2 linked regions of the Caenorhabditis elegans genome follow. The protein of the gene in region 2 interacts with the protein of the main gene of each other region in a pairwise test. Each region holds a gene or a part of one and is shown on either strand. Other genes may lie near its edges.

Region 1 (5,946 bases), 900 kb from region 2:
GCAGGCGATTATTCACGCTAGTTATGCTCAAATGTGATCTGTTGTTTTGTTTTCGCAAACATTTTTATTGATTTTCTCAAAATAGAGGGGTGTAGCGATCGAAAAATCAAAAAATTTGAATTCAAACATAATTGTAAATTTTGCGTTTTTTTTCGCGCCAGAAATACGGTACCCGGTCTCGGCACGACAATTTCTCGTTAAACGCAATAATATGTGCGCCTTTGATGAGTACTGTAATTGGAAACTTTCATTTTTGTGGATTTTTCAATAGTTTTTCGTTAAAATACTTTGAAAAAAGCTAAAATAATTTACAAATAAAACATAAATAAATTTTTCCAAATCTGAAAATCCATAAAAATTTCTCTGCAACGAAAGTTTGAAATTTTTTGAAAAAAAAAGAATGCGAAATACCACAAACTTTTCTGAAATTCGCTATACCCTTCCTAAAAATAATATACGGTAGTAGATAATTCCCGCATTCTCCCCCAACTCGACAAACGGGTTATTTCCCCAAATTCCATTTTTTTTTTCTCAGCAATTCTAGAAATTCTCTACCGTAAATTATAACTAAACATTGCATACCAATCAGGTTGTTGTCCCTCACCCACTCTCGGTTGCTTTACTATTTCACTTTTGTACATATTTGATGATGATGATGATAAACGTTATTCATAAATATAAGCAAAATTGTTTGTGCAGAGGAAAAAAAACTGAAAGGAAATAATGTGAAAATAAGTAAGTGAGAAGAAATAGGAAAATTGAATGAATAAATGAAATGAAATGGAAGAAAAAAAAAGTTAAATTTTCAAAATTTGAATCTGAGCATAATCGGCGACCGTCTCCCCGGGCATGAGTTCTCCGGCATTCAGGTTAATCGACATTTTTGCATAGTTTCCTGTTGGCCCTTTGGCGAGTGTAGATGAGTTAATGAACACACTTCCATTCACACATTTTGCTGATGGCGCAAGCTTTGTCGGTGCAAAAACGATATGAGGAGTCGAGCCGATACAGCAGACATCGAGCAAATCTCCCATGGACGCTGGAACTTCCGTTGGCTCCAATGGATACATGCACTGCTGAGTGAGAAGATGACTGCTGAGACGGGCGACACGATCAATGTTCTCCTGATTTGCGGATCGATGGAATTCCGTATTGCTCAACGCTTGAATAGGCTCACTGCTAGTCATTGCCACCTCGACACCGCTGATTCGGAAAATGCATGGATCGGCGACGAAGATCAGCTCTTTCTTGATTTTATCGAGTTTTCGGTTCTGTTGGAACGGAGCACTTGGGAAGACCGGAGGAACACAAAGATCACGGGATGCGTTCGGTTGAATGATCACTTGCGTTTTTGTGCTGAAATTTGAAAATTATCATTTTTTTGCAATTTTCAAGGAAATTCAATTGTTCAAAAACCAACCCGACAAGCGTCTCCTTAACTTTCAAGAGCAAATCCTCCAACAAATTGTCATAGGTAATATTAAAAGTGGGCTTATTCAAAAACGTGTTCTTCTTATCCACAAATGGCCCAGCCAGCATCAAAATATCGGGCTTCTCGGCAACGACTTTGTCCAAAAGCTCACAGAGATGCTCATACCCACAATTGTCCGTCGCAGTGTACGGACCACACGCAAACCAGATTTCTTCTGAAAATTTTGGTTTTTATTGATGTTCGTGGCCGCGTAAAATAGAAAACTAAGCCACCAACATTTTCTCGGCCAGGCTGGAAAAGTTCGAGATTTTCAGGAAAATCGAAAAAATCTTAAAATTTTCGGTTTTCCGATATGTCGGAAAAATTGATTTTTTAGTAATTGCTTGAAAGTTCGGCCATAAAAAACTTTTGTTAACATTGTGCTAAAACCTTACTCGTAGTGTCAGTTTCAACGGGATTCACTGGAAGTGCCGCTGGCTGGAAGATCTTGTCAACTTGAAGCTCCTCGCCAGTCTCATTGGTCCCACGAACAGCGATAATTTGTCCGGGGAAGAGAGTTATATCTTCTGTCATTTTACTAAAATCCATTCGGATCATTGTGCCGTCTTCGTCGTCTGGAATTTTTTAGATTATAATCATTTTTTATTTTCCAAAAAAAATATTCAATTTTTTTTTGAAATCGATTCCAAAAACACTTTTTTTTCGGAAACTTTTCAATTTTTCATAAGTTCCGGGGTTTCTCTATTTTTTGAATACACATTTTTTTGACATATTTTACAGTTTTCTCGCTTTTTTCGTAAATTTTTTTCAAGTTTTTGAATTTCGATTTTTTTAAAAAGATTTTCAAAAAACTTAAAAATTTTCATTAGTTGATTTTGCCTTTTTCATTGAAATTTCGAAAATTTTAAATTTCAGCTTATAAAAATTATTTTAAAAAATTGATAAAAACAAAATTTGTGAAACTTTCGTTTTTTTTTTGTAAAAAAAATTATTTTAAAAAACTCGATATATGTTTTTTCAATTAAAAATTTCCAATTTTTGAGATTTCATAGATTTTTTTCTAACAGAAATCCTAATTAGTTTGAAGTTTAAAATCAAGAAATTCTTTTGGAAATTGAAATTTTTAACAATTTTTCATGGCTAAAATTCAATTTTTAACTAAAAAATCCCATAAAAACGAATTCTCACTAATCATAAGAGCAACAGAATGCTCTCCAAATTTCTCATTATCCTTTGTCTCATCATGAATCACTTGTCCATATGTATATACAACATCAACTGACGGTATCGATGGATTTCCCCAATCGACAATTTCTTCGAATGATTTTTGGATACGGTGAGCGATATCTGCCATTCGTTGTGCTTTTGCTGAAAATTTGTTTTTTTTGTGAAAACTTGAATATTACTCATAAGCGAAATTTGGTGCCAAAAATACGGTAACGAGTCTCGACACGAAAATTTTCGTTAAATGCAAAAAGATGTGCACTTTTAAAGAGTACTGTAATTAGAATTTTTGAGAAAAACATTTTCTAAATAAAAAATTCTACCTTCAATAACCATAGAAGATTTATCTCCACCATACAATGTACTCGGCGTTTTCGAGATAATTCTTATAGTATCATCGCTTTTTGTCGATCCTTTCAATCCTTTATCCTGATACTTCTTCCCTCGAATAGTTGTGACAACATGTGATGGATCGGCTCTTTTCAGGAATTTCTCATTAGCCGGGGAACCGGGAAATGGTGAAAAGTCGAGAAAATGTCCTTCAAGCTTTGCAATCGCTGAATTTGTGAGGTGATGTGACGGTTTTTCAATGTCATCGGGGTCGCCACTTAGGATGAATCCACTTTTTTCTGCGAGCGGAACACGGCCGCGTCTGAAATTTAATGCGGTTTTTTTCGAGACTTTACTTGAAAATTGATATATTATTAGGGCGCAGAAAAATTAAATTTTTATCAAAATGCAAGTGCGCTCTACGGCAAAATGTTGGGTCTCGTTAGGTTTTTTGAATTTACAGTTTTGCCGCCAATACCTAGCGAGACCCAACCGTTGAGGGCGGAGCGTTCTCACTGGGCCGTGAAGCGCGTTTGCGAAAAACTTTTTGAAAAAAAAAACTGAAAAAATTAATTTAAACATTTTTAGATTTCGAATTTTTTAATAACAAAACGAAAATGTCTTCAAAAATCAACAGAAAAAACACTAAATAAATTTTATTTTTACTGTTTTTTTTTTTGAGAATTTTCGTGAAAAAAATTTAAAAAAAAAACATTTAACTGTCGATTTTTCTCATTTTAAATAGATTTTTGCTATAAATTTGAGTTCCAATGCAAAATTCGATGATAAATGTAATTTTTCACTCAAAAATCTGCGATTTCCTTTACTTACGCCGGTTTTTTCACAGATCTCGGCGTGTGCACAGTTTTCTGGGCCTGAGCCTCCAGATTCTCCTCTAATTTCGCCAAAATTCCAGAGTCAACGGACTTTTGCCCAAGATTGCTCATCACCGAAACGACATCATCGACAATATCCTCACCGCTCTTCCGGAACGTTTTGCATAGTCCTTCTACTGCAAAAATTCAATATTTTGATGTTTTTTCCGATAATTATTGAATAAAAACTTACATTTTTCAATAAAATGATCTTTTGCGGGACAATTAAAGCCAAATGGCTCAAGATTATCGTTAAAATCTTCCAAATCGAACTCGTATGCCATTTTATGACGGGAAAAAGGAAGGAAATTGATGAGAAAATGGGTGAGTCGAGTTGAATCTCGCGCGCTCTCCTGTTTTGCGGTAGAGCGCGCTTGCACTGTGAAAATTCGAGCTCCGAGGCACGGAGCCCCCGCAGAAAACAAAGAGTTACTTGGGAAATAGAAAATAGGAGATAGAAAAATAAATAATTTGAACTTTGTTTAGTAAAGTTTTTAAAGTTTTATTATATTACTTCGCGCATTTCGTCACACATTTTTTGTGCACACTTGTCAAGGGTGTTCCGATTCCCTCCCCCGACGTTATCAATTGTGGATTTGCCATAGCCACCGAGACACATAGGATTTTAGCTAAACAAGAGTACGCAGGCATCTCAACGAAAGACGGGGCGATGGCGGGAGCCAACAAAGTGTAACATGGGAGAGAGCACGGGAGCCGACGAGTTGCAGGGGCTCCGGGCTGCCTGCGGGAGAGCAACAGGAGCAGCAGGAGGCACCCGCAAATCCTTGCATATTTACTCCGCTCTCACACACTCTCGCCGTTTTTCGCTTTTGACTAGAAAAGTTGCAATTCTTCAGCCTTTTTCAGATCGAAAATGGCGCAAATCGTCCGGCAGAGTAAATTCCGGCACGTGTTCTGTAAGCCCGTCAAGCATGAGAGCTGCATGTCTGACATTAGGGTAAATCACTAGTTTCATGAAACTCCTATATTATAGAGAAAAACCTCCTAGAAAACTGTGAAAAGCGGATTTTACTACGTAGCCGCAAAAAAATCGGTGGCCGAGTTTTTTCTTCTTCCATCCTTTAAATTTATCTGAAAAAAATTTTTTACAATCCCCTGGATTCGATTTTTGTGGAAATGCACATTTAAGAACGCAGAAAAATAAGAAATTTAAATGTTTTAATTTTTTTCAAAATTTCATAGAACTCCAACACTAAATCAAATACCTTTTTCAACAAAAAAAATTCTGCGAAACATATTTTTTTATTTAACTTTAAATATATGCGCAGTTAATTCAGTTATTTTCTAAACTTAGAGAGTTATTTAATGCCAAAAATTGAATTTGTCACGTGGCCGTGAAAGAGAAAACTCGGCCACCGATATTTTCTTTTGCGTTAAAAATTATTCTGAAATACCAATTCATATTCTTAGAAAAGTTTAAAAAAAGAAAACACCTTTTTTTTTCCAAAAATTTGAATAGATTTTTAAAAGTATAGAAAACTAATTAATAAATAGTTTTTTATTGTTTAAAAAATTTATATATGAAAATACAGTACCCGCTATTTAAAGGCGCCTTAAAAACTTGAATTCAACCTTTTCAGGTCACAGAAATCACTTGGGATTCATTATTCTGCGATGTCAATCCGAAATTCATCGCCTTCATCAACAGAGGGGCTGGTGGACCATTTATGGTCATTCCAGTGAATAAGGTAAGTTTTTTATACAAATAAAACACAAAAACCCCACCTGACAAGTGTTTTCAAATGTTATTTCCGGATTTTTAATTTTTTAATTATTTTTTTCCGAGCATGATGATCAGCAACTCAACAACACCTGTTACCTAAGGGGTCGGAAAACAAAAACTTTTAAAAAATTATTGAATAAACCTTTAGAAGATCAATAATTTTTAAAAAAAAAGTTAACTGAAATTTTGTGAAAAACCTACACCTATAGCTGTGTATCTGCAAAAACACCATTTTGAAATCTTCCTTGGTTACTAAAGTTTTCAATTTCTCTGGAAACTTAAATTGAAGCAGCCGACATTTCACGTTCCTGCTATCCAAAAAATGCCAAATATTTCCAGAT
Region 2 (4,872 bases):
TTTTCCAGAAATTTTTTATTTTTTCAAATTCTTTTCGGGGAAAATCGAAATTTTTCCGGAAAATTGAGAAAAAATTGATATTATTCAGGGAAAATTGAAAATTTTCCTTTTTTTTTGTTGGAAAAAAATAGTTTTAAAAAATGGCATTTTTCAGGAAAAATTGAAATTGTGTAATTTTTTCAGTTTTTTTTTTCCGAAAAATGACATTTTTCATGGAAAATCGAAATTTTTCCTTTTTTTTTTTTTGGAAAAATCGCCAAAAAATTTTCGATATTTGCGGGGAAAATTGAAATTTTTCCAAAAAATCTTTCAAAAAGCGAAAATGATGCTACCTTCGAGTACTCCAACGTCGTATAACAAATATTATACTCTTGAATAATGCTTGGATACAATGAATTAAAATCGAGCAGCAAGATCAATGTCTCATAGAGTCCCTTCTTCGGCTCCAACACCAGACCACCCGAATATTGTGCTTTTCCACTCTTCTTCTCGTCTCCTTCTTGGCTCTCCTCCTTCTTTTTCTTGCTCTCCGAGCTATTATACTTATCCGGTGCGATGAGATCCGCTTTTTCGAACGCGTGAAGCAACAGATACTCATTCCTCTCGGCACGTCCTCCCATCATCGTTCTCGAAGCGATTCCACCGACAATCTGCGAGATTTGAATGTAGAGTGGCAGAGCGTTAAGCCGAACAACGATCCGAAGTGATAGTAGAAGATCGTTCCAAGACCAATTGATCAGACTGATCAGATCTTTGGAATCCACGTACAACTGCGGAATCTCATTGGCGTAAATCTCACGGCGCTCGGCTCCAAGGATCTGTTGAGAGAGCTCTGTGAGATCAAAGCTTCGAGATTTAACAAGTTCCATCGCGGCAAGCTTCGAGTCCAACATCATTCTCCCCGCTGTGAGCTCCCATTGGCCTGATTTTGAATGTCCGATTTTTCCAATATTAATTGACCGTTTTAAACGAGAAATTCTAGACCAATTCGGCAGCTTGAGCTTTTCAAGTCTTGAAACCAACAAGGCAATTGTCGCCGACAAGTCGTGTCCCACAATCATATCAGGTTCATCTTCATTGATCATCGCCAGGAACAGGGTGAGCAGTGCCTTCTCATTAGCAACACTTTTCACGAATTTCGAGAGTTTCTCAGTTTCCAAGCGCTTTTGGATGTCATAGGGGAGAGATCCACCGGGAGGCTTTGTGACGAGGCATTTCGGCTTCAAATCCTTACTATCACCACTCGGATGAGCCAAGTCGCATTTCGGATTGAAAAGCATCGAAATCATGCAAATCTCATTGTCCTTCCGATCGTTGAGCGTTGTGACAACGTTCAGGGCGAGAAGCTTGATCGTCGGCGGTGGTGCGTCAGAGGATTCCAGATACTTGATATTCCGCATCTTCTCCATATCAACCTCAAACTCATACTTGCAATTCGAGGTCTTCGCTTTGGGATCCGAATAGTTATACAGCTCAATCCATCCAGGACCCATAAATTTCTTTTCAATAAGCAACCGTTCCAACGGAGTGACTGATGTGTTGAAGGTGTTGGAGAATGTGTCACCCTTAAGATCACTGGGAAGCTTCCCCTTCTCCGCCGGATAGAGCACTTCCATCAACGGGCTCTTCGTGCCGCATCCGTAGCCGAAGCTCTCGTCACGGATCAGCTCCTTCTCCACCATCTTACACTTGAACTCGTGTGTGTTGAACTTGTTCCGCAGAACATCTCCGATCTCCTTGTGAAGCTCGGCAAGGCTCGACTCCTCTCCGGTGCTGAGATTCTTGGTGCGAGGCATAAAGTAGACCTTCCTGCAGATGTTCTTCACAACGATTGAGCAGGTCTCCCAGGCGTTACCGCTGGTTTTGACCTTTCCGAAGAGATAGACGGTGCCGTTGGCCTTGTGAACATCCTCGTAGGCATCGATCCAGTACATACGGATCGCTTTGGTGGTGTTGTCCTCGCCGCCCATCGTGTAGAAGGCTTCGGATCCGGTTTTCACCTCGACCTTCACATCTTCGTCCTCCTGACTGCTGCTCCCGCCTGTCCAGTCTTCAATGACACGGAACTTCGCCAGACTATCCTCGACTTCTTCCAGATGCTCGGTCTCCATTTTCACTGTTTCTTCGATTTTCTGGATCGCTGGAGCTGTTGGAGCTTCGACTTCTGCCATTTTCTCCGTTTTCACTGGAGAAGTCACCGGAGAAGCCACTGGATAATCATCTGGAATCCCATAATCCTCATCCTCATCAACCTTCACATGCCGCTGGAATTTGTGCTCGGCGAGCCCGGTCGCCTCTCTCTTGGCCTTCTTAGCAATCGGCCGTGGAGCCAGTGAATCCGAGCCGCTCGGTGAGTCGAATTTTCGTCCCCGCTTGAACGGATTCGCTGGGGTCGCCTTCGGCTTCTCCTCGGCCTCCTCATCGCTGCTTCCCAGCTGCTCCAGCATATTTTTCACCTCCTCATCGTCGTCAAACTCGGCTTTCACCACAGACTCGTCGATCGGCTTCTTGGTGGAGGTTGTGGAGAGGAATGCATGAAGTCCTCCCTTTTTCTTGTCTTTTTTCGGCTTTTTCTCGCCTTTTTTCGAGGAATTTGAATTTTTCGAAGAACTGGGCGCATAATCGTCTTCGTAGTCATCTTCAAAGTCTACACCGTTGTCTACGTAGCCCATTCCATCTGAAAAATTTATATTTTGAAAAATGTTAACAATTTAAATCAGAAAAATACCATCATCGACAATAAAATTGTCCTTTTGTCGTTTTGCAACGATTTTCTCGTACTCATCATCATCAACCGTGTCGTAGACGTCCTCCACGTCGAGCTAAATGAAAAAAATCGTTTTATAACAAAAATCTGCTATAAAACTACCTCTGGGCGATAGGCTTTTCCTGTTGATCGCGCCAATTTCAGCTGCTCAATTGCAGACAGCTCCTTCGACTTCTTTTGACTGACTCCACAGCGGCGAGACGAGCGTCTAACATCCGATTCTGCATGGTTTTCCGAGTCGGACATCTGAAAAACGAAGAAAAATTACAAAAAAATCGCAAAAAACATAGCAAAATTAAGCGAGAAAGTGAGAAAATGCGGTAAAACGTTCAAAAAATTGTTTGAAAATTTGCTTCGCGCGCTGCCTTTCCTTGCAGTAGAGCGCGCTTGCAATTTCATGAGACCTCGCTGTTTTCGGGATGATGAGTGTGGTAGAAGTGAATTTTCGCAAAAAGTTAATGTTTTCTAGTTGACGTAATTAAAAAAATAAATGATTATTTTAAAATATAGTTGTTTAATTGACATTTCTAAAGTTGTCAACAGGAAAACAGCAGAAATATTATAATTTTCTCACCAGATCAATTTCTCCCGGTGTTTTTCCCGTTTTTTCAATGAAAAAAATTTATTTAAAGATAAAATAATAAAATCAAGCATGGAAAACTGAAAAACTGCTCTCAAAATTCGATAAGAAAATATATTTTCGAAAATTGAGCCCGCTACGGTAGAATTTAAATTCTTACTGTAAATAGTTTTCGCTAAGAGATATTGCGCGTCAAATCAAATGCCCCAGTGCGCATTCTCAGAATTGTGTGTTCCCGTAATATGACTACATCCTGTGTCCATTGACCTGTATGACGTCACGGAAAACACAGCTGTTCGGCCCTCCTGCCAAATATCTATTTTTTGGGAGTTATTCCTAATTCCTGTGTGCCGAGAAATCTATTAAATAAATACATATTCAGTTTTTTATTCACTAAATTTCTCTACATAACAGGCTAACCTATTTTTTTTAATGAATAATGTGAATTCAGTTCAATCAATATTTTCAGCCGTTCGGAATGAGTTTGTCAAGAATTTATAGAAACCAATTTACGCCTGTTGGCGACAATTCTTCTGTAAGTTAAACCAAATCTGAAAAAAAATGCGAAATGGTTTTCAGAACAGCATGAAAGTGTTCACAAATCAAAGAATCGTCGACAATATTCTGAAATATGTGAAAGGAGATATGAACAATCGGTTGAAGTCACGTGTGAGTAATTTTTATAAATTTTGATAAGAAAATATTTTAGTCCAATATCACGGATATCTGGCTTCCCTCATAAATTGAAATGGAAGAGTTTGTGCCAAACTAGACCATTTTGGCTCGACCATATCTGGGGTAGATTTACGGCGCGTTGCGTGTCGCGTCGCGGCTTGTAAAACTGAATGTATTTGTCCGTGTGGAGTACACGACTTTCCCACGCCTTGTCCGGCGGGCGATTGTCAATAGAGCGCGAAAAATGCAATGAGGAAGGCCAGAGCCCAGTGTTTTCGTCCAATATTTATATTTCAAGTTATAATAAATAGCTTTGCAGCTGGTCAACAAAGCATTCAATTTTGGAATCATTCATTCGATTCGAATAGAGCATCAAACAGTGATCTTTCACAAGCCTACTCGTTGTGATATTATTAGAAGATGCCCAAATTGTACAGTGAACTTGAATTCGGTAGAGCTTAATGTTAAGAACATACGAAAGTATGCGAGGCAAGTTTTGTTATGAAAATGAGTATGTAAATTTATATTACAGGTTCTTGAAACAAACGATGAAGATAACGGTATTCAAAATAATAATTGAAGACTTGGAATTCAGTTGTATTGATAGAGAAATTATTCATTTGGCTCTCAATGACTTATTTACAGATTCAGATTGTGAGTTCTATTGATCCATTCTTAATTTTCTAATATTCTTACTTTCAGATGAGAGAGTCGAAGAATTTATTGGAGTTGATAATATCTGCATTGCAGGATGTGGCGAATGTAGAAAAATGATTCAAAACTGTAAAGTATACGGGCCAATTCAACTGGACATATTTCAAAGTGTAATGGGGCAAAAACGAAGCTTTGA

The links.
Region 1: the proteins of pola-1 (region 2) and div-1 interact in a two-hybrid assay, tested with the Caenorhabditis elegans proteins (one large-scale study listed by BioGRID).

Annotation. Positions count from the first base shown.
Region 1 is NC_003281.10:10,244,402-10,250,347, forward strand, and holds div-1 (DNA polymerase alpha subunit B), read right to left. Parts: upstream 4,159-5,946; 5' UTR 4,146-4,158; coding exon 4,055-4,145; intron 3,999-4,054; coding exon 3,818-3,998; intron 3,309-3,817; coding exon 2,980-3,308; intron 2,801-2,979; coding exon 2,621-2,800; intron 2,047-2,620; coding exon 1,867-2,046; intron 1,647-1,866; coding exon 1,421-1,646; intron 1,357-1,420; coding exon 798-1,356; 3' UTR 655-797; downstream 1-654. Other genes in the region: Y70G10A.3 (Solute carrier organic anion transporter family member), read left to right, coding at 1-37; Coronin-like protein cor-1, read left to right, coding at 4,736-4,819, 5,463-5,570, 5,945-5,946. UniProt on the Caenorhabditis elegans protein: May play an essential role at the early stage of chromosomal DNA replication by coupling the polymerase alpha/primase complex to the cellular replication machinery. Required for the distribution of pie-1 in cell divsion.
Region 2 is NC_003281.10:11,140,589-11,145,460, reverse strand, and holds the start of pola-1 (DNA polymerase), read right to left. Parts: upstream 3,014-4,872; coding exon 2,870-3,013; intron 2,823-2,869; coding exon 2,729-2,822; intron 2,678-2,728; coding exon 333-2,677; intron 1-332. Other genes in the region: Y47D3A.1 (F-box C protein), read left to right, coding at 3,826-3,882, 3,927-4,016, 4,342-4,511, 4,555-4,676, 4,725-4,872.